4 linked regions of the Macaca mulatta genome follow. The protein of the gene in region 1 interacts with the protein of each later gene in a pairwise test. Links are inferred from orthologs where the notes say so. Each region holds a gene or a part of one and is shown in the gene's direction. Other genes may lie near its edges.

The links.
Region 2: the proteins of EXOC1 (region 1) and RESF1 interact in a two-hybrid assay, tested with the Homo sapiens proteins (2 studies listed by BioGRID and IntAct). The link is inferred for Macaca mulatta from reciprocal best matches to the Homo sapiens genes EXOC1 and RESF1.
Region 3: the proteins of EXOC1 (region 1) and SPTAN1 interact in a two-hybrid assay, tested with the Homo sapiens proteins (2 studies listed by BioGRID and IntAct). The link is inferred for Macaca mulatta from reciprocal best matches to the Homo sapiens genes EXOC1 and SPTAN1.
Region 4: the proteins of EXOC1 (region 1) and SFR1 interact in a two-hybrid assay, tested with the Homo sapiens proteins (2 studies listed by BioGRID and IntAct). The link is inferred for Macaca mulatta from reciprocal best matches to the Homo sapiens genes EXOC1 and SFR1.

Annotation. Positions count from the first base shown.
Region 1 is NC_133410.1:77,568,614-77,574,425, reverse strand, and holds part of EXOC1 (exocyst complex component 1), read left to right. Parts: intron 1-526; coding exon 527-726; intron 727-3,191; coding exon 3,192-3,386; intron 3,387-5,152; coding exon 5,153-5,305; 3' UTR 5,306-5,812.
Region 2 is NC_133416.1:34,169,134-34,175,479, forward strand, and holds the start of RESF1 (retroelement silencing factor 1), read left to right. Parts: upstream 1-2,515; 5' UTR 2,516-2,553; coding exon of another isoform or gene 2,554-2,919; 5' UTR 2,920-3,003; intron 3,004-3,872; 5' UTR 3,873-3,967; intron 3,968-6,346. Other genes in the region: uncharacterized protein LOC144332817, read right to left, coding at 2,554-2,919. UniProt on the Homo sapiens protein: Plays a role in the regulation of imprinted gene expression, regulates repressive epigenetic modifications associated with SETDB1.
Region 3 is NC_133420.1:19,115,227-19,121,275, reverse strand, and holds the start of SPTAN1 (spectrin alpha chain, non-erythrocytic 1), read left to right. Parts: upstream 1-2,626; 5' UTR 2,627-2,748; intron 2,749-4,154; coding exon of another isoform or gene 4,155-4,220; intron 4,221-4,802; 5' UTR 4,803-4,820; coding exon 4,821-4,853; intron 4,854-6,049. Other genes in the region: uncharacterized protein LOC114672723, read right to left, coding at 1,800-2,626, 4,155-4,220. UniProt on the Homo sapiens protein: Fodrin, which seems to be involved in secretion, interacts with calmodulin in a calcium-dependent manner and is thus candidate for the calcium-dependent movement of the cytoskeleton at the membrane.
Region 4 is NC_133414.1:116,279,468-116,285,929, forward strand, and holds the start of SFR1 (swi5-dependent recombination DNA repair protein 1 homolog), read left to right. Parts: upstream 1-2,631; 5' UTR 2,632-2,691; coding exon 2,692-2,704; exon of another isoform or gene 2,705-2,789; intron 2,790-3,455; coding exon 3,456-3,577; intron 3,578-4,184; coding exon 4,185-4,595; intron 4,596-6,015; coding exon 6,016-6,207; 3' UTR 6,208-6,462. UniProt on the Homo sapiens protein: Component of the SWI5-SFR1 complex, a complex required for double-strand break repair via homologous recombination. Acts as a transcriptional modulator for ESR1.

The DNA of each region.
Region 1 (5,812 bases):
AATTTTCAAATTTTATGTCCAATTTATTCATCTTTCCCCTTAATAGTCTTCTGAATTTTGGGCCATTCTCAGCAAGGTCACCCCATCACAAAATTATTATTTTTCAATTAGCTATATTTTCTTTAGTACTTATGATTATATTAATTTATTTGTTTGCTTTTTACATTTTAAATAATTTAGCAATTCAGAATTTGGCTGCAAGATGTAAAATAGGGACCTAAATTTCATATATTAAAATGGTCCAGCTGGTTGTCCTAACACACTTTGAATAATTCATCATTTCTCCATTGATTTGAAACGCTACTTTTATTATATACTGAATTTCCATGTACACATGGGACTGTTTTAGGATAACTTTTTATGATGATTAGGTAGATCTGAAAACTCCCATTACAATATATTTTATTAAGTCCAGAAATGTGCTTAATTCTTAAACTTACAAATGAAAAAATAATCATATAAATGTTTGTGGCTAAATACGGTCATACTCAGAGATGTTATTTTATTTTTTCTGTTTTGGTTTTAGTGGAGAAAGTAGCAAATGAAAGCCAGAAGACCCCCAGGGATGTGGTTATGATGGAAAACTTTCACCATATTTTTGCAACTCTTTCTCGATTGAAAATCTCATGTCTAGAAGCAGAAAAAAAAGACGCCAAACAAAAATACACAGATCACCTTCAGTCTTATGTCATTTACTCTTTAGGACAACCTCTTGAAAAACTAAATGTAAATATATTTTCATTCAGTATTTTTCCTACTTTTGAACCTATACACATAAGTTTGCATATGAATAACCTGCAGACATTTATCTTAAATTTTCTCATGTGTTGGTGCAAAGGGGAGTCAGTTATTGAAGCTGCCAGTGAGCCAGACACTGCTAGATGCTATATATTTTATTTCTTCTTTCTGTACATTATTTTTATACATTATTTATCTATTATATTTTAATGATAATTTTGCTAATATTATTCTATTACATATGCATTATTTCTTTTAATTCTTATAAACAATGATGTGTAAGCTAAGATAATATTATCCCCATTTCACAAATGAAGAAACTGAAAGTAAAAAAAACTTGCCCAACATTATAATAGCTTATAAATTACAAGCTGGGGGATGAACCTAGATTAGGCTTTGCCATTATTCTTTCCCATTTCTTACTTTATAAATGACCAAGTTAGCAATGTCTAGGTGGAAATTTCAGAAATATTATCAAGATAAAAGAAAAACCAAAAATTGCTTTCTACATTGCCTTTTACTTTTCTTTCCCTTCTTTTTCTTTCCTTACTTGAGTCATTTCCCAGAGCAAGTCTGTTAATTAAAGTTAAGAAATGATGATTTTAGGGAACTTTACGACATAGTGAAAGCTTAAATGAACCTTTTTAACTAACTTTGTCTACAATATAATTAGTTATCTTTTATAAGTTCTTAACTTGAAGTTAGAGTAAAATAGCACAGTGACTCATACCTGCAATCCCAGCACTTTGGGAGGCCAAGGCAGGTAGATCACGAGGTCAGAAGATCGAGACCATCCTGGCTAACACAGTGAAACTCCGTCTCTACTAAAAATATTTTTAAAAAAGTAACCGGGCGTGGTGGCGTGCGCCTGTAGTCCCAGCTACTCAGGAGGCTGAGGCAGGAGAATCACTTGAACCTGGGAGGCAGTGATTACAGTAAGCCGAGATCACGCCGCTGCACTCCAGCCTGGGCTACAGAGCAAGACTCAGTCTCAAAAAAAAAGAATATGTATCTACTATCAGCAATTCAGAGAAATACTTGAAAGGCATTTAATCAAATGCAGAACTAATTCCTTATAAAACTTAAGAACAGACAAATATTCCTTTAATTGGATAAAAGATCTGTCTCAGGCCTAAAGCTTACATGATACTTAACTGCAACGTTAGAGACATTCCCTCTGAAATCAATGTAAAGCAGAAATATTGTTAGATCATTTATTATTTAGCATTGTTGTTGAAGTGCTAGCCAGTTCAACAAGACCTGAAACATAAACAGGAGATATGGAGAAGAGAGACAAGATTATCACTGCCTGTATATGATATGTTGAAATTACTGGTGTTGATTAAGTGACAGGATTCAAGGCAAATATACTGAAAAACAATGTATTTCCTGTCTACCAATTAAGAGCTTATGTAACAACAAAAGTTTTAAAGCACTAAGAATAACTTGTCAAAGAATGATAATTTAATGAATAAATAATCACTAAGAAAATTTTAGAAAAAAGTAATGAGAGGGAATGGGGTTTGTCAGTATTAATTCTTTGTATCGTGCTCAAATACAGGCATGCCAGTCAATAAAAGTATATATATATATAAAAAAGAAGACCTGGGAATAATATTTATAACAATATAACAGAGTCAGTATATTTAATATAAAAGATTTATTAAAATCAATAAGAAAAGCACTAAGACCTCAATTTATAAATGGGGCAAGGGGCCTGAATCACTACTAAATATATGAAAGCAGGTTAGCCTTATTTATAGGCAAAGAATTATAAAATAAAATGACAAACTTTCTTCACTCTGACAACCATTGTTTTAAATTGTCATAATGCTTATGGTAGTATAGTGAAGTAGCAACCTCATACACTGTTGACAGAAATATAAATTGATTGAGCTTTCCTGGCAAGGGGTTTGTATATATACTGAAGAATCTTTCAAATACTTAAAGTTACGCTCTTCAATAGAGTAATTATAGTTCTGGAAATTTAATCAGTAAGGTGGGTAAATACTTATATACAAAAAAAAATTATGACAAATATAGTAAATTTTCTAAAGTCCCACTAGATCTGGCAAGTCCAAAAAAAGACGGGGGAGTGGGATAAGTATCTAGTACTAGAGGAATGAATAATAATTGTGGTTTAGTCATAGTATGAAATATTATGCAGCCATTAAAATTTATATTCAGCAAAAAACAATATTAAATGTAGAATGTGACGTATGAAATATAATCTCATGTATGTATTCACACATCAAAAGATTAGAAGGAACTCTACAGTGTTACCAATGCTCGTCTCAGAAGTATGTGAATAAGGTGATTGTTATTTTATTGTTTATACTTTCACACACTGATTTTTGCATGGTGATTATACACTACTTTGTAAACAGATTTTTTAAAATGTAAGTAATAATAAAAACAGGTCTTAGCCATTGTTTCTTTTCATTTCCTTGAAGCATTTCTTTGACGGTGTTGAAGCTCGTGTGGCACAGGGCATAAGGGAGGAGGAAGTAAGTTACCAACTTGCATTTAACAAGCAAGAACTTCGTAAAGTCATTAAGGAGTACCCTGGAAAGGAAGTAAAAAAAGGTCTAGATAACCTCTACAAGAAGGTTGATAAACATTTATGTGAAGAAGAGAACTTACTTCAGGTATGCTGAGTTCTTTTGACCGTCTGGCTTGAGGATCCTTATATATATTGCTTTTCTTTAAATATTTTTCTAGAAATGCTATAGATCTAGAGCAGGACGTGAGTTCCATTAAAGTACAGACCAGATTAATGAATTGTGAGGAAGAAAGGAATACTACTTATATAAGAATATATGGCTATTTCTGCTTATTTCGTATTTCTACTTTATTATGGTGAAGCATTAAGTTTGTTTTTCTTTGGTTGGTTGGTTGGTTGGTTGGTTGGTTGGTTGAGTGCTTGGAATTAGAAATGGGTTCATAATCTGGCTCCAGATTAAGCTGCGTGACTTTGGGAAGTTACTTAACCTCTGTGAGCCTTAGTTCCCTTATTTCGAAAAGTGGAAGTGATACCTCTCTTGTATAGTAGCCACTGTATTGGGCAACATAGCAAGACCTTGTCTCTACTAAAAATTAAAACAATTAGCTGGGCATGGTGTCATGTGCCTGTAGTCCCAACTACTTGGGAAGCTGAGGCAGGAGGATCACTTGAGCCCAGGAGATTGAGGCTCCAGTGAACTATGATCATATCACTGCACTCCAGCCTAGGCAACAGAGTGAGGCCATGTCTCAAAAAAAAAAAAAAAAAACAAGAAAGAAAATGAGCTTAGAGGCTTAGAGAGTTGGAGTAATAGGACCAAGCTCCCATAACTAATGGGTAGTAGAGCTAAATTTAAAGACCAAATTAGGCCATTATTCTTTGTAAACCATATTGAAAGGCCCAGATATGAGTGAGAGTAATTCTGATTTCACCATCATGGAAGACTTCCTAAGGGATATTGCATTGTTTGTTTTAACCTCTGAAAGTCAGATGTATTTTAACAGGCAAAATGGGGATACAGGGAGTAGCATTCTAGAAAGAAATAATATGAGCTAAACGACGAAAAATAAAAAGCATAATACTGCTTAGGGAATAGTGATTGGTCTCAAGTTGACAGGAATTTAGGATTTATGAGATTTAGGGTTTACATGAAAAAACCTTGGAAGAATACATTCCCTCAGCTGTCAAATAGGGAAGATGATCATAATACCCACCCTCACCAGGTCATCGTGAGACTTAGTACTCTAATATATTCATAAAGTGCTTTGTACTGTGCTGATAAAGAGTGAGCTTCAATTAAGCCATTATGTCAATATGTGTATCACATTGTGTCTTGATAGTTGTCTACATATTAGTCTCCACTGTTACACTGTAAATCACATGATTGCAGATAATGGGTCTGACTCATTTTGCTGTCCTCCAAGGCATCAAGCAATGTTTTGCATCAACAATTTTAGATAAAGAAAATTTTAAATTTTATAGGAAATGAAATTAAAGCATTATATTTTATATAATCACTAGTCTTAGTTCTATACATAATTGTGCATATCCATATCTGTGTTGCATATTGGAGTGTATGAGATAATAGCTAAAATGTCATGAGTGCTTACTTGTGTCAAACACAGTTCTAAGCACTTTATGTACATTTCTTATTTAATTCTCACAGCATTATGAGGAAGGTCTTATTATTATCTTGGTTTATAGATGAGGAACTTGAGGCGTAGAGCAGTGATGTCATATACTGAAGGTCACAAATCTTGTTGGTAAAAGTAACTAGGATTCTGGTTCCAGAATGCATGTTCTTAGTTACTATACTACCCAGATTCTTAGAATATGCCTTGGCATTATTTCCGCATACTAGATTACATATTATTTCCATTCATAGCCTAATGAATTTTTTTTTAATAATAGGTTGTGTGGCACTCCATGCAAGATGAATTTATACGCCAGTATAAGCACTTTGAAGGTTTGATAGCTCGCTGTTATCCTGGATCCGGTGTTACAATGGAATTCACTATTCAGGACATTCTGGATTATTGTTCCAGCATTGCACAGTCCCACTAAACCTTGGGAAAGAAGAAAAGATAAATGAATGAAGCATTTGAGTATACCAGACACTATACCAAAATACCAAGCAACTGTTTTGAGAACCCAGACTTAAAATTTTATGTATTATTAAATGTTAGATAAATGGGTAGTACCATACTACAAATGTTTAAATGTAAAATTACCAACCTATATAGCAGTTTTATTTGCCCTACAGGTTGCATACTGACTTAAGCATTTATGTCATCCTAAAATGCCTTTAGCATTTCTCAATGACTGGATGGGAAATTTTCCTTTATTGCCTAGCTGCTTGTGTTTCAGTGGTTGTCCTGTGTGCAGCGCATTTGGAGTTCTTCAGCTTTCACTGCTTCTCTGTTGCTTGCTAATCATGTAACTACTAAAATACTGTACAAAATTGTTTTTTTCACACTAACAAATGTGTATATGGAGAAGAGGGCTCATGTGATCATTTGTAAAGTTAGATTTTTGAGGATTATGTGACTGTAGTAATAAATGTGAAATAAA
Region 2 (6,346 bases), on another chromosome or scaffold:
GCTTGGCTTTGACTCTGGACTCTGGTGGTCTTCTTTGGGGAACAAACGGTCTGGGCATAACATCATGGCCACTGCAACCTCTGCTTCATAGGTTTAAGCAATTCTCCCGCCTCAGCCTCCGGAGTAGATGAGAATTACAGGCGCCCACCACTACATCTGGCTAATTTTTGTATTTTTAGTAGAGACAGGGTTTCACTATGTTGGCCAGGTTGGTCTCAAACTCCTGGTTTCAAGTGATTCACCCGCTTCAGCCTCCCAAATTGTCAGGCCTCTGAGACCTAGCTAAGCCATCATATCCCCTGTGACCTGCAGTATACATCCAGATGGCCTGAAGCAACTGAAGATCCACAAAAGAAGTGAAAATAGCCTTAACTGATGACATTCCACCATTGTGATTTGTTTCTGCCCCACCCTAACTGATCAAAGTACTTTGTAATCTTCCCCACCCTTAAGAAGGTTCTTTGTAATTCTCCCCATCCTTGAGAATGTACTTTGTGAGATCCACCCGCTGCCTGCAAAGCATTGCTCCCAACTTCACCGCCTATCTCAAAAGGTATAAGAACTAAAGATAATCCCACCACCCTTTGCTGACTGTTTTCTAACTCCGCCCACCTGCATCCAGGTGAAATAAACAGCTTTGTTGCTCACACAAAGCCTGTTTGGTGGTCTCTTCACACGGAGGCACGGGATACAAAGTGCTGGGATTACAGGCCTGAGCCACGGCGCCTGGCCACCCCCAATCTTTAAGAATATTCTGGGCCGGGCGCGGTGGCTCAAGCCTGTAATCCCAGCACTTTGGGAGGCCGAGACGGGCGGATCACGAGGTCAGGAGATCGAGACTATCCTGGCTAATACGGTGAAACCCCGTCTCTACTAAAAAAAATACCAAAAAACTAGCCGGGCGAGGTGGCGGGCACCTGTCCCAGCTACTGGGGAGGCTGAGGCAGGAGAATGGCATAAACCCGGGAGGCGGAGCTTGCAGTGAGCTGAGATCCGGCCACTGCACTCCAGCCTGGGTGACAGAGCGAAACTCCCTCTCAAAAAAAAAAAAAAGAATATTCTGGCCAGGCACGGTGGCTCACGCCTGTAATCCCAGCACTTTGGAAGGCTGAGGCGGGCTGATCACCAGGTCAGGGATGAGACCATCCTGGCTAACACGGTGAAACCCCGTCTCTACTAAAATACAAAAATTTAGCTGGCCGTGGTGGTGGGCTACTGTAGTCCCAGCTACTGGGGAGGCTGAGGCAGGAGAATGGCGTCAACCCGGGAGGCGGAGCTTGCAGTGAGCCGAGACTGTGCCACTGCACTCCAGCCTGAGCGACAGAGCGAGACTCTGTCACACACACACACACACACACAAAATATTCTGTATATAGTTTTTTTTGTTTTGTTTCTGACAGACGCAAATGCACCCTTCTACTAATGATTAAAGACTTCTTCGTTTAATCCACCAATGAAATAATCTGACAATTTATGTAACAAATAAATTCCTATAAACATAAGCTCCCTTGCTCCTCTCCAGTGGCACAATCTCTGATTTGCTATCCTGGTTGCAACCTTCATTACTAAGTAAACGCTTATGTAAACCTTAATAATGAGATTCGAGCAATATGATTAAATATTGGTTTGAGTGCAAATTTTGAGGATGGCGACCTGATAGGCCACAGACTCCAAAAGATGGGGGTCAGTGCTTCGAAAGCGAGAAGTCTGAGGGTCGTTTATACAGGCAGGGTCTGGGAAGCTTAACAGGATGTCAACATTTTCCATAGAAGGTTAACGTATAGCAATTTAATTGGTTCTAGGCAGTGTTTCTTTTTGGGAAGGGTCTATTTAACATTCCACATTAAGGATGTAATAGTCAAGGGGTCATTTATCTTATTCAAGGCGTATTTTATCTCAGATGCCATCTGGTCTGAGCTGGGAACAAGAAAATAAGGGAGTTAATCTATAACAAAAGGTTGGCAATTAAGAGGTCGTGCTTCATGATCTGGTCTCCAAAGTCAACTTTCCTCAGGGACTTTCAGAAGCCCCAAATAGATTATCCACTGTCTTTCACACTTATTTGCCTCTAAGCTGTTGATTTTCTTTTTTTTAAGGGTTAACAGTCTCTTGGGTGCACTCTGACTCCCATGCGCTTTATAGAAAAAATTGGTCCTGAGGCCAGCAACAACAGTGGGTCTCAGGAACTTGTTAGAAATGCACATTTTCAGCCCCCACCCCAAACCTACTGAATCAGTAGTTTTGCTGGCGGTTCTCAATCTCTCTTTAACATGCCCTCTGGGTGCTGCGGATGCTGGTTAAAGGTAGAAGATCGCTGCGGGAGATTTCCGCGTCGGGCAGATGAAAGCGCTCTGCAAGCCCTGGTGCGATCCGCTGGCCAGTTCCGCGGCTTCTCGGGTGGCACTAGGACCGCGGCGGCGCGGCCCTCGTAGACACCGCCTCGGGCGTGAGGCGGAGCCTAGCTGTTCCTGGATCCTGGGCCTGGCTCCTCGACCCGCCCCTGGAGGCGGACCCCACTTGACTTAAACTCTGGGGCCCGGGAGGCCGCCGGCTTTACCCCTGCTTGCTGGGGTGGTCCTTTTCCCTTGTCGGTAAGTGTGAGGCGAGCACCCCGAGGTCCCTCCTTCGCCTTCCGGGGTGCGGGCGGGGCGGGGGCCGGGAGCCAGAGGCGCTCACGGCCGGGGCCGGCGCGCGGCGCGCGGCGCGGAGCGCTTTTGTTCTGCGGCGAGAACGCAGTCGCGGGCGGCCCCGGAACCCGGGCCTCGGGCCCCGCCGGCTCGCGCGTCCCGCAGTCCGCCGCCCGAAGCTGGGCTCCGCCGCCGCGCTCTCTTCTGCCCGCCGTACTGGGGACGGCCCTGGGCCTCCGCGGACGCCGAGCCTTGCACCGGAGGGCGGGCCTCGCTGGCTGTTTTCCCTCATTGCCTGGCGCTGCGCGATAGAGGTCGCGAGTGGCGAGGGCGAGGACGCGTTTTGTTGAACTGCGAGGCGCGGCTGGTGAGGCGGGTGGGTATGAGAGCTGCTTATGTTTTTAAGGCTTTGCTGTCACTGGAGTGGAAAAAAAAAATCTTTGTTTTCCTATTTCCCGAGCGTTCTCCTCCTCCCCTGCCCTCTTAAGTCGAAGCCTCCTGGAACGGAATTGCTGTACTGGCATCTGTCTCCAAGTGGTCCGCGAACGCAAAGCGCCGGCGATGCTTTCTGTTCCTCGGCAATAGTTCCTTGAGGCATTTTTAAATGCACAAACGCATACCCATCTTAGGTGTTCTCGAGGGACACGGATTCCCTAAGCAAACGTCCTTAGGGTCCTGAGTTTAGCAGCAAACTTTCGGGGAATAATTTCCGTGGAAACAATTTGTAGTACATCGAGTGCATAACCGTCTTAAGACAAGGATGTGTATGAGCTTGAGGCGCGTTTTCGTTTTGTGGGGGGGCCGGTGCATCTCAGTAGGCGGGCCGCAGAGCTTGTTTGGAGATTGTATTTTTCTGCTTAATGTGTTAGCTTTAATCATGTTTCATTCATTGTTAATGTGCATGTATGTTAAGGTTTTAGGTTTTTTTCCCCTCTGCAGTCGGATTTTTTTCTATTTAACATTAATCCAGTAAAGACAAGTCCAGAGATAAAGTGTTACTGTTTTGCAATGATACTACAATAGCCGACCTAGAGGAGCGCACGTAGATTCTGACTTAAGTGAATGGTGTTTTCAGGCCAGACCTAGTTTCTATTTCTGTTAGTTAGGACACTTAATAAGAATTCAGTAAAGTTAGCATGTTTTCTGTGCAGCCTTAAAAGAAAACAGTTTTGCACAGCAGTGTCATATCTAGTAAACACATTAGCATGTCCTCTTTTATTATAAAACGTTTCTTGTTGTCCCTAGGACCAAAGAAGTAAATACTGTATGGAGGGGGACTGATGTGTTTGGAGTGAAATGGGAACATACACAATAATTAAAGACTAAAGTTGTGCTTAACGGTAAGTATTATCACCTCTAAGAAACCCACCCTGATTTAACCAGGCAGTTATTCACATGTAACTATGGAGTAATTTACCTGTTACCGAATTAAAATTACTAGCTCAGTGAATCAACATTGGTTAAAAATTAAACTGTGGGACTCAATGGATTTGACAACAAAGCTTGAGAAGAAGCAATGTTGTCGGCATAGTACTGAAAAATCAGTTGTTAATCTTAGCAAAATGAGAAAGAGGTCTGTGGTAAGGTAATTGTAGTGGAAGTTACCTGGGCAGAGGTCTGCTTCTGTCTGTGCTGTGTTTCTTATGTGATTGTTTTTATTATATTTTATTACTGTTGGTGGCACATAGGGGAATGTGGCACAGAGCACCACTCTGAAGGATGCATCCTGTACAGCCAAAGTGGGCATGTCCAGGGCTTTCATCTGTAACCACAAAATGTCTTAGGAAGTCTCACCTAATGATAAAGATCATGGTCCCTGTAACCACACTGCTTTGGTTTAAATCTTAGCTGTAGCACTCAGCAGTATCTGTACAACCCTGGAAAAATAAACCTCTGCCTGTTTTCTCATCTATAAAATGGGGAAAAGTACTAATGTCATAGGATTGTTATGGTAGAGTTACAGGAGTTTCATGCATATCACAGTTAAACAGCTCTTGAAACATGGTGAGTGCCCAATAAATGTTAGCTATTGTCATGTTAGAGGAAATAGATTTTGTGGCCTGGGACATGTAATGCTGTCTTAGCAGAAATTCAGCTGGTTCATTTAAGCTCTAACTTCATGAGCTTTTTGTTGATTAAACCCATCACTGTAGATCCTCTTAGATTCTCTTTTTTGTAGGTCCTGTTTTGTTAGAAAGTATCCGTCACTACTGGTCCACATCTGGATTTACCTGCAGTGTTGTTTGAAATAAAAAATGCCTCCACTGAATTCCTAGGCAGGACAAACTTGCCCCAAAGCTTTGTTCTTCTACATTATCTCTGTGATTGTACAGGAATCTCTCTTCCCTCCTAGATTATCAGTGTCTTGGAGATAGTTGGAGCTCAAATGCTTAGGGAATTGATTTAATGTTGCTTAAAACTTACTTGTAGGCCAGGTGTGGTGGCTCATGTCTACAATGCCAGCACTTTAAGAGGCTGGAGCGGACAGATCACTTGAGGCCAGGAGTTCGAGACCAGCCCTGGACTCAAGTTGGCCAACATGGCGAAACCCTGTCTCTACTAATAATACAAAAATGAGTCAGGCGTGGTGGCACATGCCTGTAATCCTAGCTACTCGAGTGGCTGAACCTGGGAGGCAGAGGTTGCAGTGACCTGAGGTCACCCCATTGCACTGTGGGCCTGGGCAACAGAGCAAGACTCTTGTCTTTAAAAAAAAAAAAAAAAAAAAAAAGGTATTTATGAAGGTGAATTTCAAGAATCTAATCAGGCCTCCCTCCCTTCCCCATTAGAGGCACACTCTATTATGTAAAACAGACAGGGAGTGTATTCATTTTGAGATAAGTCCAGGAGAATAGTCGACTAACCCTGGCTATAGATATGCAAGTTAACATTCACTTTGGAAGGAGGTTATGAAGAAAGAATCTTGGACCTTGAGGAATTCTAAATGCTTTGTTGGGTGGCAACTATGCAACACTTATACTATTCCTAATACCTTAAGTGTACTTGTACGTGAAGAGCAAAGTTGGAGGCTGTTGAGGTAAATATCTCAAGTGAGATTGGAACTATACATTTTATGCTCCTGGTTTTCATGATCGCAAAAATTTAATGACAGTAACTTAGATTCTTTTGATGTGTCAAATTACAAGGTTTCATTTGTAAATAAAGTCTTGTGATTAAAATGACAAAGTGTATTAAAAGAAGTTGTATCGTCCAGTTAAGTTTCAAGAAACAGAAACCATAAGGAGATTATTATTTTCCAAGCCCCAGAGGAGAATTCATTAGATGACATACTTTTAAAGTTCATGGAGCAGGGCCGGGCGTGGTGGCTCACACCCGTAATCCCAGCACTTTGGGAAGCCAAGGTGGGCAGATCACCTGAGGTCAGGAGTTGGAGACCAGCCTGGCCAACATGGTGAAACCCCGTCTCTACTAAAAGTACAAAAAATTAGCTTGGTGTGATGGCACATGCCTGTAATCCCAGCTACCCGGGAGGCAGAGGTTGCAGTAAGCCAAGATCGCACCACTATACCCTAGCTCGGGTGACAGAGTGAGACTCTGTCTCAGAAAATAAAGTTCATGGGCCAGTCGTAGTGGCTCATGCCTGTAATCCCAGCACTTTGGGAGGCCAAGGCAGGTGGATCATGACGTCAGGAAATTGAGACCACCCCTGGCTAACAAGGTGAAATCCCAAAATTAGCTGGGTATGGTGGCATGTGCCT
Region 3 (6,049 bases), on another chromosome or scaffold:
CTTAGGTCTCCAATTCGTTTTGCATCCAGCAAAAGCAGCAAAACCCCCAGTTCACTATGGAGCCAGGGCGATTTAATAGAAAAACCCTCCCTTTTTAATAGCTCCTGCCCCTCAGTCCCGAGGTGCTTTCTTTGCTGGAGCAGAAGCTCTTGGAAATTTTAGGGAGCTACAATTGTGTAAGCCATTTTGTACCCAGAGCTGAATACCTGATTAAACATTTTACTGCAACCTGCTGGAGAAGAGGCCACGGATACCATCAGCTGTTCCCAGAAATGCAAACCCCAGGGAGGAGCTGCCCAGCCCAGCTTTCTCTACATAGAAGATTGCAGGAAATGCCTCTCAGCTCCTACGTTTTTCCTACACAGATTCTCTAAAGCAGCTTCTGGGGTGTGGCCACTCCTTTTCTCACCACTCCAATGGAGTGAGTGGGTAGGGAAATTTTTCCTCAGTATCATGGCTACAGCCAGGGCAGCTTAGAAACCGTATTGCAGGTCCCGCGCATGGGGAAAGAAGCCAAACTGCAGAGGACCAGGAAGCTCAGGGCCAGGTCTGGGCCCAGGTTCTGGTGCAGTGCCCAATGACTTTGTATTTATTTAAAGAGGAGAGCTGCTTAGTAACCAGGAGGCTGAAGCCTTCCTGAGCTGCAGAGCTTCCCTTCTGCCTGACTGCACAGGAATGATCTGGGTGTTACTCCCGATGGCTGCGGCCCAGCTGTCACCGGAATGGGGATAGGGAAAGCGCTTCCTAATCCAGGGCTTCTGGCTACAGAGTTGAGAGCCAGGCCCTCAAACTGCTAGGACTTTAAGGATCAGAAATTCTGAGAATCTTATTTTTCTCTGTCTGCACCCCAGCAGCCACCCGCATCAAAATGCCTCCCTTTCCTATTCATTAAGGTTCTTTCTGGCACAATTAATTGAACTTTCCTTGTGTACTAGGCACTATGCGAAGTATTTCGTGTTACCTTTTCATTTCTTAATCTTTGCAATAATTTGATGAGATATTTTCCTATTTTACAAATGGGCACTCTTACATAATGCTCATGTAGGCTATGTCTCTTGGCCCAGGTCAGGCAGCTAGCAATTGAAGGGCTAGGATTTCCATCTCAGCAGTCAGAACCTTCCATTTGCAACCTTAATGTCTTGTTTATGAAATAGGATGAATATGCCCTATTCTACTGGCGACCTGTGAGAATGCTTTTGCTGCAGGAATATAAGAAATTATTATTTTGCCGCTGCCGTTTCCCTCCCCCATAATATCCAAGAATGTAAGAAATTAACTCTCCAAATTCCAGAATAACAGCTTTATGCCGCAAATTAGTCGACTTAATTTTTTTTCTGATTCAGATTTGGCCTTTTCCTCTCACCGCCTCTTCAAACCCGGGGCCCCAAATCATCTGCGTCTTCTTGACCCCAGCCCCCACCGAAGTAGGGTGACTAGGGTCCCCAGCGCCAGCCTCCTCCTCGGGAAAGTGAGCAGGAAGAAGAGACGCACTCGGGTGATCTCACCCTTTGGGACTGGGCGTTTTTCCGCCCGGGGCGCGCAGCATCCCAGCCAGACTGCAGCGATACCCCCTGCCCCGCCCTTCTCCGCAGTCCTGGAAGAGCTCCCAGGGCGGAGGGGTGCAGTGCAGACGACTGTCCGCAGGGCGGGCGGTGGCGGGGCGCAAGTTGCGCGGAGGGAGGTGAGGCGGGAGCGTCTCTGTCGGCCAGGGCGTAGTCAGTGACCTCACTGCACCATCACCCCTCACCCCTTGCGCGCGCCCCATTTCCCCATCCTCCCGCGGCCCGCCCCTCGCTCACCTCTTCCCCCGCATCGCCGCTTCGGCTCCTTCCGGGATCGCTCGGCCCTTTCCGCCGGGCGGCCGGGCGGTGAGCCGGCGGGAGCACCGCCCCCTTTGCTCCGCCGGCGCGCTCCCCCGCCCCCCGCGCAGCGCCGGGGCGCTTCCCCTTGCGCTCGCGCCCGCCCGCCGCGGGAGCGCGCGTAGCTGCCTATAAAAAAGGCTGGGCGCGCGCGTCGCCGCCACTACCCGCTGCGGAGTGAACGGCGCGGAGCGGAGGCCGCGGAGGCTCCTCGGTCCTGCAGCACCCCCTCGGCCCGACGCACCCACGCCCCTCACCCCACGAGAGCCGGTGAGAGGGGCAGTCGGGGAGCTCCGGGAGGGAGCGGGGCCCCGGGCAGCCGACCCCCGGGCGGGAGCTGGGCAGCCCTTAAGGCGGGGCGGGGCCGGCGCGCGGACAGGTGAGTCGGGCGGGCCGCGGCGCTGCCTCCATTCGGCTGAGGTGCCGGGGGAGCCTCTGCCGCCTCTTTTGTGGCGCGTGGGCTGCGGAGGAGCAGCCGGGCGGACGTTCGGCGCCGCCGCTGGAATGTCACTGACTGGGGGGAGGGGGCGCGAGGCCGCCGGGTCCCTCCCCTCCACCCCCAAGCCTGGCTGCGGCGCGGCCCTGCCCTGCCCCATCCGGCTGCGGCAGGTGGGTGGGGGCTCCCTCGTCGGGATCTTCGCCAGCCGCCTCCCTGCAGAACGCTCCCCGCACCGCCCCCGGTCCCTTCCCTCGGCCGGGAGCGACTTCTGCAGCTCGTTCTTCCGAATGGCACCAGCAATGCCGGCCAGCCGTGGAGGGAGGAAGAGCTCGGGGAGCCCGAGCGTAGCGTAAACGGCTCTCTGACCTTAATTTCATCCTGCCTGGCGAATCTCTGCCGTCTCTTTGAACGCAGAAGGGTCTGAGACTGGCCGTCTCCTTTTCTTTCCTTGTAATAAACATTTTTCTTTCTTCCCAGTTGTGATTTGCTTGTAAATAATAGGTAGATGCGGTGCTTGTATGGTATGAGGGTCAAATCAAATAACTTAATAGCTTGGAGTTCGTGTGTGTGTGTGTGTGTGTGTGCGTGTGTGTTTCCTGGAACTGGGTCTTTCGAGTCGAGATACAGTGTCCAAAATTCTACCATACCAGTGTTGAATGATAGAACAGTCTTTTGTTTGAAAGCTATCCCTGAGAATTTGATTAGACGCTTCCCATAGAACATCGCTTTAAAAAGTCTCTTTCATGTACTGGAGTAAAATATATTTTAAACAAGCGCCTTGTTAAAGTTAAGAGTTGAATATGTTTTAAATGAAAAGCCTGAATAGCTCAGAAGGCTGGGTTGAGATGATGATTGAACTGTTACAACATCTAATCAGATCTCTTTTATATAATAGATCCTAAAATATTTAAGCCCTTTGTTCTGTCTTCATCATGGTATTTTAGAAAAACTTAACCATCATGGCTGTTCGGGAATAACAGAAGTATTTTCATAATGTGTTGAGAAATTGCGTCGTCATAGCAATTGGCCTTAAGTAAAACAGAATGTATCAAAGATGGAAGGGTGGGGGTGTCTTGGAGCCAGGAAACAGAAAATCTGGGGAATAGCAGCAGGAACACTCAGCTATATGAAGCCATTGAGCCAAGGTTCCGACTCCTTAACTAGTCATTTATTTTCCCTTTCATTGCAGCTAGCTAATGTCTTAGATTTTGAAAGGTCAAATTGAAGTCAAAGTTTAATATGTGCTACGGGGAGAAAGAAGTGCTGCAGTAAGGGCCTCTGTGCAGGAAATTAGCAATAAACCTTTTTCAGTAACTGGGCCAATAATTACTCAAAGGGAGCCTCAAAGTGTGTTAACTGGTATCCAGGGACCTAGATGGAGAAACTGGAAAGGAGGATTTGCTTCATCCTGGACAAGTGTGAAGCAGTTCTTATGGCAAACCATCAGCCTAGTAACTGATTCTCTGATACGCTTTGGTCTTGGCAGTGTATTTTGTAGCCATCTAATAATTGGAGAAATTGGATATGTCATAGGCTACAGTGTAAGCCTGTCAAGCAATCTGATGAAGAGGTGGACATGGGGAGAGCCGTTTTAAGTATGTCTTTTGGTTCCCTGGGTTAAAGTTTTTTCTGCTTTTTTCTTACCTGCCTTCATCCAAAGTGGGGGGTCAACTGCACATCCTGAAAAGTGGATCTCAGGAATAGTCCCCCATGTCCTGTCACTGCGGAATCTACACTAAGAATGGATAATGTGTTCAAGGCTGGCCTGCCTTTGTAATCAGTCCTCCGTGGGCTATGCAAGGATCCCGCTAGTTAGGCACTCAGGTCTGTTGCAGCATTATCAGCTGCGGCTGTACTGTAGAATGCAACGCCCTAGTGGCAAATGCTGACTCCAGGAATGCGGAGGAGGAGGAGGACCGCATAGTTCATCACTTGGGGCCACTTGACTGGAGCAGCTGTGCTGTGAACCATCACCTCTCTTCCACCTTTTTTGCATATTCCTCTTGTACCAATTTTGAACAGGAAATAGTATTTTGTGAAGTAAGTGTACTGGCAAGCTAGGCCCAAGTCAGATCTTTGTGGCTTGAGTTCTACTTTGTGATAATTTCATGCAGTCGTGCTCTTTTATTGCTGAATGGAAGGGGATTTAGGAATCATCTTGTCCTGGGATCCTCAGGAGGAGGGCGTGTTTAGTTTGAAAAAGTATATTCAGTATTATTACTTTGACAAGTGGGGAAATTGAGACCCAAAAGAGAGTGAGACTTGACCAGTGCAGCATATCCAGATAGTAACTGCCAAGACCTGGGAACCTTGGTTTTCTTTCCACATTTTAAATCCCTTGTGGGATTTAGACGCTATACAGAATGTCAGAGAGAAGACACTGAGAAAATATCTGAAGTTGGATTTTTAATCTGTATTCGTATGTTTTTAAATATCTGTTTTCTTCATAATTTTGTTCCATTTGCCCTTAGAAGCTTATCTTGCTCTTCCCCCTCCCTCTTTAGACTCCACATTCCTCCATCATGTTGTCATCGTTTCGTAAACGCAGAGTACAGGTATTTGACCAGCATGCAGAAAACGGGTTGCCTTTTTGGTTTTGCCTGGCTTGCAGTGAAGGCATATTTGTGTCAAAGAGGTTGAATGAACCAAAGAAAGGGGGAAAAAAACCCTGCCTGCATGATGTTTCTGTTAAACAAATTGTTTAGGATTTGTTTGGGGTTTTTTTGGTGTTAAATTATCAGAAGTATTAGTAAATTTACTTGAAAATTTTCAAAGCCTTCCCTTTTTTTTTTTTTTCTTTAACCTCTCTCTCTTTAAGGCATGAATATATTAATTTCTTATCACCATTATGGTGTTTGCATGTAGTGTTTGCTGACTTTTTATTGGTGGCTACTTGGTTTTTAAGAACCAAGGGGCAAAACAGATTATCCTAGATATTTGGAAAAAATAATCTGAAAAATACATAGTAAAAATTGTTTTTAAAATTTGACAAATACTGTAAACTTGGGCTTGTTTCCTGTTCCATTGACTTCTTCCACCACAATTTCTATAATAAAATAGAGCTTCCCTTTTCATGTTTAAAAAACAGCTGTCCGGCAGGGTGTGGTGGCTCATGCCTGTAATCCCAGTGCTTTGGGAGGCCAAGGCGGGCAGATGATGAGGTCAGGAGTTCGAGACCAGCCTGGCCAGCATAGTGAAACCCCGTCTCTACTAAAAATACAAATACATTAGCCGGGTGTGGTGGCGGGCCCCTGTAATCCCAGCTACTGGGGAAGCTGAGGCAGGAGAATCGCTTTAACCTTGGAGGTGGAGGTTGCAATCAGCCGAGATTGCACCATTGCACTCCAGCCCAGGGACAGTGCAAGACTCCGTCTCAAAAAAATAAGTAAATAAACAGCTCTCTTTATTTGTTTTATTTGTGTACAGTCTTTGTTTTCTAAATTGGACCTTTTAAAAAAAAATTCAGTATCTTGATATCTCAAAATAAGAAATATAAACCTTGGAAATTTCCAGTGATTATAGGTGATAAATCCAAGGCAGGCCTTTTTATAAATCAGATGAGTTATTTATTTAAATGAGGTTTATAAAAATGGGCCACATTGTAACCATTTCCTGTTTTGAGTCATAGTAACAATAAGGAACTTAAATACCTCTCATCTGAATTTTGCAGGTTGAAAGGTAAGTAGCAGCAAGATAGTATTTGGGAAGCGTTCAGAAGTAAGTTTTCTCAATATTGCTCTGCATTTCTGGA
Region 4 (6,462 bases), on another chromosome or scaffold:
ACATCATCATCCCACCAATAATTACAGACAAGAACGAAGCATTTTACCACTCCCTGATGAGTAACAAAGTAGCCAACAGTAGCCTTGGGGACTGAAGAAATTTTAAAATACATGGAAAGCCTGACTTGAGTTGATATTAATTACTATTATTACTGGATTCTATTGCTTAAATTGTTCTCTGTGGTAGGGTAAGGAGTCTTTACTTCCTGGCTCACTGGGCCAGTATTTTTTCCTTCCTGAAAAGTTTCATAGGAAACATACAATGTCCTGTGTCAGAAACACCAAAGTCTTCACAGGCTAATAGATTTCAAGTCACTAAAGACACTGAAATGTATGATATGCATTATCTAAAGGTACAATTAAAAGTATAGGGGCTATATTCCAGATCTCTGACATGAAACCGAGGAAACTGGGTTTCCAATTTGTGACGTGAAAAGATTAAGTAAAATACAAACTTATGTATAGGGAGATAATTCAGTTCTAACAATGCATGAAAGCCAGAGAGGTAGGTCAACAAATGCACATTTCTGAAATACAGGTTTTTCTGAGTATTTGTTCTGAAGTTCTTTGAAAATCTGGCCAGATAATTCCATTTTAAGATACCAGTTCACATAATAAGCAAGTCAGAACATTTGCAAGGCAAGATGTTGTTTTCCTTTCTGCAGCCAGGAAAAACACAGCTCTAAGCTTAGGTTGTAAAGGTAAAAGGATTTGGGAGCAGCTGATTTTAGCCAGTCATAAAAACATCTCCCCCTTATGCCAGGAGGTATAAAGAATATGCAGAGTCTGCATTGTGCTTCTACTGTCAGGACAAATCATTATGCTTTTTCTTTGAGATTAACTGATGCCAATGAATGAGTAAAGGGAGAAATAAATGTACAGACTGAGACCTGCAGCTTGGTGAGATGAGTAACACCTTTATCACAAAATCATGAGTTCTGTCTTCCACTTTGTAAATTCCTTGGGGTTAACTTATGTAATTTAAAAAATTTTTAGGAGTGAAATATGTATTACTAATCATATGTGAAGCTCTGCATTTTCTGCCATTTATAGTTTACATTGTGTGGGATCTTACAGATAACAGCATCTTTTAAAAATATATGTGCTTTTTCGGGGAATGGGAGCTAAATCAAGGGGTGAAAGGTAAGTGAAGGTGATACATTCCTTTAAATCAGTTAGGGAATGGTGAATACACTTGAATATATAAAATAACTACTGCTTCCTAGATACCTAGCTCTGTTCTAGCTGCCTCTTACCAGTTCTCATTTAATTCTCCAATCCCATATTAAGAGATGAAGAAACTGAGGCACAACATAAAGTAGGGTGCCAGGATTTGAACCTAGACAATTTGACTCTAACGTCTGTGCCCCTAATCATTCCCTTAAGTAGTCCTCAGGTTCTGTAATTATTATACCTGACTGCTTAAGGCTCAGGTAACTCCCTTCTGGCCACTTCTAAGCCATTACTGTCAGATGTTATTAATAGTAAAGAGACGATATCAATGTTTAAAACGGCCATTCAATAAGAGGACTGAAAACACTAGCCCCTGGAAATTCCCAACTTCCACGCGACTCAGAAGTTACACAACTCTTTCCCTAAACCCAGTGCTCCACCCAGTGTAGCTAACTTTGTCGTCGCGTAGCAACAGAACCTCGCCACACTGGAAGCGTGGCGGGGGGTCGGGGGGGTGGATTTTCTCGACTGGGGATGCTGCTGCCCGGTGGCCGGCAAAGGCCCTATCGGTCTCAAACATCTGAATTTTGCACCGACACAATCTCATGTAATGATTGTTCTGTTTCCTGTGTTGCGCCACAACAAACTTCCTTGGGCTACATTTTCCCTCAGATTTGAGTAAAAGATTTGAGGTCACGCTAAGAAGCCTGAATACTGAGGTACAGAAACGGTTGTTTACAAAAAAAAAAAAAAAAAAAACCTAGCGACGGGACCGCCGAGTTTGCGGCAGCCAAAAAAGCTAGCGATGAGCTCAGCTAAAGTGCCAGGACTCTCGGATAGATTTCTAACATGTTTCATTCTCAACAGGCTGGAACCCAACGCTGTTCTTGTGGTCTCTGCCTCTGGGGAGTCCACAAGCTGTAAATCTAACATGCAGCCAGCCGTGCGGCTTCTGGCCGCGCCACATCTGAGGAAAGCCTTTTCTGTGACGAGCGGGGAGAGGAGACTGACTGGAGCCAGAGAATGGAGGCGGCGGGCTGGCGGAGGCAGGGGGAGGCACTTTCAGGCGCACTTCACAGACGCACAAAAACAAGGAAGCCTGAAGGGAAGGCGGTTGAAAATAAGACAAGAGAAGCCGCCAACGGAAGCGCGCCCCCCTCAGGATCGGTTGGTCGTTCCAAAGCTCAGCTTCCCCCGCCCCGAAGACCTGCTGCGGATCACAGCCGCGCGCGCGCACTCCCGCTGCCCTCGGGCGCTGGGCAGGGAGAGCCGCGCGCACCGGTTAATTCTGCCAATCACGCGTTTAGGCCGCCTATCGTGTGGCCAAGCCCCGCCCCAACCGCCGGCTGGCGGAGGCGCGCGCGCAGTCCCGCCGCTCTGAGTCGCTGAGTGAAGCGGCGTCTCGCGCGTTAGTCAGTCTGGCCAATTGCGCGTCTTCTACGCCAGCCGCACGGCCCCGCCCCTGCCACAGGATCGATTTACGGCCGCAGCTGCGCGCGCTTTTTGCTCTCGCTGGGAATGGCGGAGGGAGGTACTCAGCTGAGGGGAAGGGGGTTACCTGAGACCTGGGCTTCCCCGGGAGTGTGCTGTGGAGTCGAGTTGAGCTCCTTTTCCGGGTCTGGGGAACTCAACCTCACCTCATCCATGGGGTCTTCGGGGATCTAGTGGGCTTTCTGCAATGGGGGGAAGGAGGGGACTACTCCCGCCCCTGGTTTGCCTCTCAAAAGTTGATGCCTTTGTCGGAGAAAGCAATTTCAGTCCACTCTCCTTTTCAGTGCCTATTCGCTGCTTAAACTAAAAGGGCGTAAATGCATCTCCGCTGTGTTTCTTATGCCTCGGGCCGGCAGGGTAACGGGTTCTAGTCACAGCTTGTAGAGTTCAGGATGGGTGACATTCAGGTCCTATTGTTTTTGAGTCAAAGTTTCGGCTATATCTTCTTGAATTATGAAGCTGTCATCATAAAGAATTCCTGATTAAAGCTGTTATTCCCTTCTTCCAAGGCAGAATTTGAATATATTTTGGTGGATGAAAAGAAAACAAGGAGAGTTGTGACTATGAGATACTAGCTGGTTGATGTGTCATGAAAATCTTAGTGGTCCCTTTGTGGGAAGGTAAATGGAAAACTGCAAAAAGAGCAATAATGAATTACAAAGTGAAATTAGAAGAAATATCTGGCTTACTTGTGGATGCTTTGTACACCAATAAAATATATTCTTTGATAAAAATCGACTATGGAGAGGTGTGGCTAATTTGATTCTCATTTAATAATTTTTCTTTTTTAGAGAAAAACCAAGATTTCACTTTCAAGATGGAAAGTTCGTCAGACTCAGCTGTGGTTTTACCTAGCACTCCTCAGGCCTCTGCGAATCCATCATCTCCCTATACAAATAGTTCACGAAAACAAGTATGAAAATCTTTGTCCTTCCAGTGGATCCATTGTGTGTTTCTAAGTATTGTGGCAGTGGTGGTTTAAATTCTACTGAAGGTTGTTAATTAACATAATGTGTAGCATAAATAAGTAGACATTTTATTAAACAATTTTATGTTTTTCTTCTAAGGTCACATATATGACACCCACCAGCCCCTTTCCATATTTTCCTCTTGAATCAATTCATTTCAGTTAGTTTCAGATTAATGGAGAAAGTTAGAATCTGTGCAATATTGTGAAGGTCTTTAGTGGCAGGGTCTAGGTCTTTTCCTTACTCTGTAATTCTGAAGCACCTGGAGTACCGTCAGGCATGTGCTTGTTACTGAACAAATGTTCCTTGATTACTGGGATAAACCTTTCAACACTTTTAGAAAGGTGTTGATCTTGCTGAAGTAAAAAGGAAATAGAACAAATGGAGCTTCCAGAAATTAAAGACATTTTGTGATGCCTTCTTTAGATGTGGAGACAGAAAGCCATCTAGTGGTGTCTAGCACAGAAATGTAAGGCCTTTATTTCTGGTGATTTATTGACATCAAGAATGTTTTTCTTGATTCACATTTTTAATGTTTTATGCTCTTTATAGCCTATGAGTGCAACACTTAGAGAAAGATTAAGGAAAACAAGATCTTCATTTAATTCCTGTTACAATGTGGTGAAACGTCTTAAAGTAGAGAGTGAAGAAAATGATCAGACCTTTTCAGACAAACCAGCATCTTCCACAGAGGAAAACTGTTTGGAATTTCAAGAAAGTTTTAAACACATAGATAGTGAATTTGAAGAAAATACAAATTTGAAAAATACTTTGAAGAATCTCAGTGTCTGTGAATCTCAGTCACTTCATTCTGGATCATGCAGTGCTCTCCAAAATGAGTTCATGAATGAGAATCTTCCTAAACAAAGATTAAACGATGAAAAAGCCAAATTGGTGAAGCAGGTTCAGGAGAAAGAAGACCTTCTTCGGAGGCTAAAACTAGTCAAAATGTATAGATCAAAGGTGAGAAGAATTTCGGGACCATTGTATCATTTTTATTTTTACATAAATTGCAGGAAAGTAATTTCAAAAATAGAAAATAAGGTGTGTGTTTGTTTTTTTATCATAATAAGCAATAAGCCAAATATTCAGAAACCTGGCTTCCAACAACTTTAATTCAACTCCAGATTTAGAGTAGAAAAGGCCCTTAAACACCAGGTAAAACTTTTTAAGAATCTCAGCTCTTATTTAATATGCAGTTAAACTTTTCTTTCTAGTTTCTAGCCCACAGCAATATTAGAAGTATTAAATGTTAGATGCAAGTACGACGGGAACAGAAGTGAAAGCTGACAGTCAATTAGTAAAACTAAAAATGGGCTGTAGAGTACAATAAAAGGTATTTTATTTATGATCTTGTGTCTCCCCCAAATAATTAATGTGATTCAGCCATATTATTTGAGAAAAAAACAAATATATATTAGATTTTAGATTTCAACTCATATAGGTTGAATTAAATAGAACTTGAGTACATGGAAGGAGATAACCTTTATTACCTGGAAAATTCATATATATGCAATAGCTCATTTTCCCCCAACTATGTGGAATAAATGATGAGATAGCATATCTCATTTGTTCTCGTGAAATTTTAGGGTTTTTTAAAAATAAAATTTAGGAGTATTGAATGTATTTTAAAATTTAGGAGTAAAAAGTGTATTTTATTTATTCATTCTCTTTTTAGAGACATGGTCTCTGTTACCCAGCCTGGAGTACAGTGGTACAGTCCTAACTTATTGCAGCCTTGAACTCCTGGGCTCAAGTGATCCTCCCACCTCAGCCTCCCTAGTAACTGGGACTACAGGCATGTGCCATCACACCTGGCTAATTTTTTTAAATTATTTTTTTGTAGAGATAGTCTTGTTATTTTGCACAGTCTAGTCTTGAACTCCTAGGCTCAAGCAGTCTTCCCACCTTGGCCTTCCAAAGTACTGGGATCACAGGTGTGAGCCACCATGCCTAGCCTAAAAAAATATTTTTAACTAGAATTTTGTAATTTTAAAGAGCAGTTTTAGGTTCATAGCAAAATTTAGTGCAAAGTACAGTATAGTGTCATTTTTAAAAAGGTACAGTTGTAATAGAGTAGATTTTTCCCTGTATTACTGCTTCTTGACATAGTTTTGGCCCAATTTAATGATTTGATTTTTCCCTTATCATAAGGATGGTCCAGAGCGTGAGCCAACAAAATAGCCATTGAACTCAAGTTGAATGACATTGTAACCATTCTACATATGACCATCCTACTTTTTCCTAGATAGAAGTCCCATTCATCCCAGTGTATGTTAGCCTTTAAACCTGCACATCCACTAATTTAACAACTTTAATTAAGTTGAACTAGCATGACTAGTTATTGACATACATACATGGTTTTTTTTTTTTTCTGTTTCAGAATGATCTGTCTCAGTTACAGTTGTTAATAAAGAAGTGGAGAAGTTGTAGCCAGCTGTTGCTTTATGAGTTGCAGTCAGCTGTGTCTGAAGAGAACAAGAAACTGAGCCTTACTCAATTGATAGACCACTATGGGTTAGATGATAAATTGCTGCACTATAACAGAAGTGAAGAAGAATTTATAGATGTTTAATTCCTGATTTTTGCTCCAGAATATCTTTGAGAATGACAACTTAATTAAAAGATATTTAGACACTTTTTTTTTTTTTTTGGAGACTGAGTCTCGCTCTTGTCACCCAGGCTGGAGTGCGATGGCGTGATCTCAACTCACTGCAACCTCCACGTCCCAGGTTCTAGCAGTTCTCCTGCCTCAGCCTCCAGAGTAGCTGAGATTACAGGCACCTGCTACCACGCCGGGCTAATTTTTGCATTTTTAGTAGAGACTGGG